Saccharomyces cerevisiae S288C: one gene and its partner. Changing the gene in region 2 together with the main gene of any one other region gives a genetic interaction. Each region holds a gene or a part of one and is shown on either strand. Other genes may lie near its edges.

Evidence for each region.
Region 1: mutations in MST28 (region 2) and ECM22 together harm fitness more than expected from each alone (negative genetic interaction), as found in Saccharomyces cerevisiae (one large-scale study listed by BioGRID).

The regions. Positions count from the first base shown.
Region 1 is NC_001144.5:600,496-604,257, forward strand, and holds the start of ECM22 (Ecm22p), read right to left. Parts: upstream 1,969-3,762; coding exon 1-1,968. Other genes in the region: Rho family GTPase CDC42, read right to left, coding at 3,717-3,762.
Region 2 is NC_001133.9:186,405-189,317, reverse strand, and holds MST28 (DUP240 family protein MST28), read right to left. Parts: upstream 1,212-2,913; coding exon 507-1,211; downstream 1-506. Other genes in the region: pheromone-regulated DUP240 family protein PRM9, read right to left, coding at 1,586-2,482; DFP2 (DUP240 family protein), read right to left, coding at 2,773-2,913. UniProt on the Saccharomyces cerevisiae protein: Involved in protein trafficking vesicle formation, probably by stabilizing of coatomer at the Golgi membrane and thus allowing the efficient formation of COPI coated vesicles.

The sequences.
Region 1 (3,762 bases), on a different chromosome or scaffold from region 2:
GATTACAGCTTCACCCAAATCACTCAAGTCAACAGAAATTAAGTTATAAAACTTGGATGTCTCCGACAGGGGCCATACAGCAGTTAGTATAGTTACGGCGCCTTTAACATGGAAAATCCATGCCGTTGGTGAGCTGCTTGAAGCATTTGCCAATGAATCTAGGATTAATATTAGAGCACTAGCCACCAAAGCATCTGTGTTATCATCTGAAATTTCGAGCACAGCCTCTCTTAACAGTCTCAACGCTTCTAAACGATGACTAGACACGTAGTTATCCAAGCCGGCTTCAGTTCTGGACAAATGAGTGGCGCTAAAAGCCAAAATTGTATGCATCAAGAAGGGAAAATGAAAAGCCAAATCCGGAATATAAGTGCTCCATACTTCAGGACCAGAAATGCCTGCTTCGGTTATGGTATGCCATACGTCAGTACAATAGTGATGAAAAAGTTTTAGATCTATCAAATTCAAATTTGATTTTCTAGACAGCCCGACTAATTCAGGGACTAGTCGTGAGGCTGATGAAGCGTTTGAATGGGGAGAAGATTGTTGTTGAGTGTGAGAATTTGATGAACGTGGAGACAATGCCTCCGAGTTGGATAACAGGTCACCCATTGGGGACGTCTTCAAAGTAGGAGAATTTCCCAAAGCGGTCCTGTTGTCCGGTATAGATAACAATGACTTTGTAGAGGTTACATTGGATACTCCCGTTGAAGGGGACGCAATGTTTTGATCTATGGAAGGTTTGGACAACGTGTGTGGGGGACTGATTGTGAGACCGGTATTGTCGATTATCAAGTTTTTGTTATGAGATAGTATATCAGAAGCAGTAACTTTATTTTCGTTTCCGTTAAGGGGGTTATTGCCCGAATTAACAGCATCCGTCTTAGTATTATCCAATGGGTTCTTCGTAAATTGCTTGTTTTTGTCCTCCTGTTCCTGTTGCATATTTGCGAGTGCCTCCTCTGCTGTGCTAACTTTGATTGCTCTGTTATTAGATGTAGCAAACTTTCCGAGGCCAAATAACTCTTGAAACTCAGAGGCCATTCCATTTGCAGCACCGTATGGAAATAATGTATTGAAGCTCTTCATATTGAAGTTCAAGCCCATCTTGTTCAATTGCGCTAGCTGGTCGAAGGGAATATTGCTGAAGGGGGACTGTGTTCCTTGTTGTTGTGGAATTTGCTGATTTTGTTGTTGAAGTTGTGGCTGCTGCAATCCATTCGTCACCGAATTTAGCCTACCAGGCGAGAGTAAGCCGTTAAGGCTACTTGATAAATTCATGGCCGTTGATTGAAAACTAGGTGTTATCGGTATACTCAATGGCGAATTCCCTGGTAGGGCCATGTTTGGGTGGTTGTTGTTTATCATTGAACTGGGAGCTGTTTGTGTTATATTATTATGCGCTTCAGCTCCATTTGCACTGCTGTTGGTACTGTTACTGGTGTTATTCACTAAACTCGCTAATAGGTGCGGTAACAAAAGATTCTCCATATTATTGGATACGGATGGAGGAACGCTATTAGGGGAATTGCTTTGTTCATCAGTACCAACATGTGGCAACAGTTGCTGCTGTAACTGAACTTGCTGTTGTTGACGAAATTGCTGTTCTTGTTGATGATGAAGTTGCTGTTGTTGTTGTTGTAACATGATGGCATTGTCACTCAGATTTTTCTTGCCTACCCTATCGTGGACCGCTGATGCAAATTTTGACGACGAAGAATCTTTTCTTCTTCTTGGCTGAATAGGGCTGTAAACACAGTCCAATTTCATGTTTGTACATTTCTTGCAAAATGGTTTGCCTTCATCACATTTTACTCTTCTTCTTTTACAATTGTCGCAACCGGTCTTGGACTTGTTATGAAACTTCCGTTTCCCTGTCGAAGTCTTGCTCACTTTCTTGCCCCCAACCTCAATCAGTTCAGCATCCTTCTCTCTTTCTTGTCCAGCATTCCCATCATCGGATGTCATGTTATGTTAGATGGAGATCTATGGATAAACGAAATATAAACCTTAAATGAAAAAAACCGTCGACTTAACTCCTCTATATTATGTAAAGGCGAAATGTTATTTGTGCCTTTGAAAAGTGGAGGTCTTGGTTGCTTCTCCTTCGACGATAATCGATTTCGGTGACTAGTTAGTAGATGATGTAATCGTAGACGCAGGGAACCCTTGCTTTTCCCCAATCGTAACAAAAAAAAACAAGGGGAAATAAACTATTAGATAGTACGAGTTCGTTAAGTTAAAAAAAAGGCTATAAAAGTCGAAGAACGAATGATTACGACCAACATCTATTGTTCAAACTTGCCTTCGTTGAGTTTATCGAACGCGCTCGTTTAAATTTTTCCGACAAGAACGAGGAACGAGTCACCAATTACGTTTTCGGCTCTGTCGGTTGCAGGATCTGTAAAAGCGATATAGATACACACGTCAGCATGAAGCTCTTATGATTTGGCGAGTAGTGTTAGTACGTTAAATGCTACGACTCGGCATATACTGTGCTCGTTTTTATCAGTTTCATCCGAGGATTGTAGCCTTTTTTTTTCATTTGTTGATGTTTCTCTAGTATTTTCCGTCTTGTAGTGGTTTCGGGTATGTTGAACATAAACATTAAAAAAGACGATTAAATAAACTTGAGTTTGTACAAAGGAAAGCTGTAGTCATAGAGTATTTAGAAAAAAAAGCAGCCACAGTTTACATGAAGATGTGACCAATGAGGAGGCATCGGTTTGCCTTTGAATCTCAATCGCTTGAAAATTGAGTTCTTTTCGAATGATGACACCTCCGAGAAATGGCATTTCTATGCTAGCGCCACTCTACCCTTTCAAACGTCCGTACTCATATGAAGTTTCATCCTTCACGCAGCGATCTAAAAAGTTGTAAAAAAAAATACATTTAGGCCTAGCTATATATGCTACTATGTATCATTCAGTGAAATGGCTGAGGTTATATAAAATACTGGGAGGTCGTTTTTACGCTAAAGCAGACCTTGCGGATCTTTTCCTGTAGAATATATTTGTAGCATAAGTCCAATTTTACGGGCGCATTTTCAAAATCAAGGTGATATTGACATATTTTGAAGAGCACCCAATGGGCTAGCTGCAAGAACAAAGAGACCAGAAAGCCTAGAATTAAATGCCAGAAAAATGGAAATTTATTCTAGACAAAAATTGTTCGGCACCTCTACAGACGTTTAACGAACCTGGTCCGGCCTTTGAGGCGATCAAAAAAAGGCCCATTTTTGTGTTCCGCGTAATTGGTTTGCGCCTTTCCATGGAGCTTGGTGGGCGACATTCTCAAACTGGTTTCCTGATACATCATGCACGCCCGTAAAGGGTTTAAGTATTGATTGCTAGCCTGAATGTTTCATATGCATACCGTGTCTATGCAACGAATATATTTCAGAAAAAAGCACGAAAGCCAAATTTTTGATGTTAAGAGGTGTTTTTGCCCGTAAACGGAGAAGACGTGGTAGGACTCGCAAATGTCGCGTTTAGCGTTGAAGAACATGGAAGTATTGAACGTTTGGGGCTTGACGGCTCGACTTTTTTGCACTACTCCGCCTTGAACAGACGGATGATCCTGGCGCAAGAAACAAAGAGAATCAACTCTGAGCAAAGCGAAAAAATGAAATACAACGATAATAAAAGGATAGGAAGGTGTATATATAAGTTAATTTTAGATATAGATTAAGAAAAGATGGGCATATACTAATATGACTACAAAATTGCACATTTTTTACTTTTCTTGATAACAGGAGGCTCC
Region 2 (2,913 bases):
ACCTTAGATTTTCTTGACAATTAACCAATTTTTAATCATTAAACTTAATAATATTTAATGCTACTGTACTTTTTATTATTATTTATTATTAATTTATTTATTCGTTCATCTTGTATGTAATCGTCCTCCGTTCTTTTCCCTTTACCGCTGGCTTGCGCGCGATGATTTCCACTAAAAGCTTGCTTGGAAATCTCGATCACCGACATACGCCCTGAGAATGCTTATAGGAGCTATTGAGGCGAAAGAAGTGGAGGGAAAGTAATATCCCGAGAACGAAAACGCAAGGTTTATTGTCATGAAAATGCAAATGCACCGTTGACAAAACCAACCACACGATTATCACGACTACTACCATAATAGGTAGGCAATGAACCACTTTGTTCAGCAAATGGGTCCAACACGAATCGACTTTTCGAGGCTTCCTTCGGCCGTTTTCCGGCCAGTTAGTGCTGATTATATATCATACTCTAGTTTATGTTCGCTTTACGTATGGTAGTGTCTCTAAGCTATTCCGTCTTTTTAAGAAGCGCATCGATATTGGGATGCCGCCTTCGCCAGTAATTTTCCTGAGCTTGTCGTTCGATCTCCGCTGCCTTGAGCAAAAAGTTTTGATAATTCAGTCTGGAACTAGGAGAAGCTGACTCGATGGCATCTTCAGGCTTAGCGGTGACCGGAGAATTGCCAATTGACGTGGCTGTTTGCTTCTTGGGGGTTACTCCCTCAACAAGGCGTAGAAAATAACGGTAGCAATCCTCATCGCTGTAAAAGTAATACGGAGTATGCCATTGCCCATGATTAAACAAATATTGGTTCATGTTGTATGTGATGATCCTCCATTCTTTCCCTTCTACCGCCGGTTTACGTGTGATGACATCCACTAAAAGCTCGGTCCTAAAATTTCGACGACTGACTAGCTTTGGATTACCATCACTTAATATTATTAACAAACCTACAAGAGAAGTAAAAGCAAATATTGCAGAATTGAAAACACAAGCTTCGTTGTCATTAAAAAATATAATTAATAAAACCAAAACCCCTATTACCAGGGACAAAATCATGACTGGTGTATAGCGAGCGATTTCATAGATCCAATAACTCAAGTACGAACGGAATATGTCCTTAGGAAGAGCCACATTTTTCTCAATTAAATGTGCACTAGGTTCGTTAAGTGTATCTAACTTGACGTCGGTACTTTCTGGAGGGGTCTGCATAGCCAATATATACCTTGTATTGCCTATGACTATAGTATTCCTGGTTGTTTCTGTGCCACTGCATACTGATCAAATGTTTCAATTACGCAGGACCCTTTTACGATTGTTTTTCATCTCTAGAGGCATTTTCAACATCGTATTTTCCGAAGCGTTGCATAATGAAAATGTGATAATAAGGCAGTGAGCTACTTTGTCACAACAAAGTACGAGAACAGATGAGGTTCCGTGGTGTTTTTGGGGCAACCGCACTATTTGGAGCGCTGTATATATTTATATCCTACTACAAAAAATCATAAATGACACTGAATTGGACACATGCTAGCGTCAAATACCTTGCCTGGTAAAGTTGTGTGCTAGTGTCTCCCGTCTTCTGTCTAAAAAAACTCATCGACACCAGGATACTCTTGTCGCCAATATTCCTTTTGAAATTGTTGTTCGATTTCGGCTGCCTTGGTGAGGAGCTTTATAAAGTTCGGTCCGGCACTAAAACTAGAAGACTCAGCGGCTTCGTTTGGTGTGCCAGCGGTTTCGTCATTTGATTGTGCGTCTTTAACATTGCTGGCTGACGATTCCTTTTGCTTCTTGAAAGTTCTTCCCTTAATAAGACTTAGAAAATAACGGTGGCAATCTTCATCACGGTAAAAGTAGTAGGGAGTATCCCATAGCCCATGATCAAATAAATACTGGTTCATCTTGTATGTAATTGTCCTCCATTCTTTCCCCTTTACCGCCGGTTTACGTGTGATAATTTCCATCAGAAGCTTAACTTTAAATTCCCGATCACCGATCGGTTCACTAAATGCAATTACAACCATGCATGTTCCTGGAAAGCAAAAGGAAAACAATAGTATCTCAAAGGCAACGCAAAATTCCGTATTATAAAAAAACACTAATAATAAAATTGAAGTCACAATAAGTACGAGCAAAATTACTGCCGCTTTATGACGAGTAACTTCATATATCCAATAACTTAAGTACGAACCGAATATGTCCTTGGGAAGAGCCACATTTTTCTCAATTAAATATGCACTGGGTTCGTCGAGAAAATCCGACTTGGCGTCGGTACTTTCTGAAGATGTTTGCATGCCCAGTTTATATCTTGTCTTCTCTATAGCTCTGCTATGGTGTTGAAGGATGTTATGCGGATCAAAATAGCGATCTGTCTTATACCAATTGAAACTTTTCATCACCTGCTTTTTACTTCGGAGGCATTTTTCATTCAATACTAAGTTCCGGAATGATACAAAATAAAAATGGTATTGAGGCGACATAAGTTGTTAGCACAGCAAAGATGGTTGCGGGTTAAGTTTTCTGATCGTTCTGGGAGAGTATTTACGTTAAAAAATAGGAATCAATTAAGCATAATCATGCCGTTTTGTGTGCTACATATCTGTTTCCCACTATATAAAGTCACGTTAGAATGCAATTTATCTAATTTACTACCCCATTTTAGCGTCAGTGGATTGGTAAATCCCTTTGCTAGCAAGGTACTGTCAGAATATTTCTCCTTCCTTTCAAATAATTGCACCAATATCTTGCCAATACTTCACTTGAGATTGTTCTACAATATCCGCTGTCTTGGAAAGCAATTTTGAAAATCTTCTCCGGGATTTAATGTGAAAGATTCGCCAGCTTCAGTCTCCTGTACATTTTCCTCAGCGTTGCTTGTTGGCTTCTCGAAAGTTCTTCCCTCAATAAAACT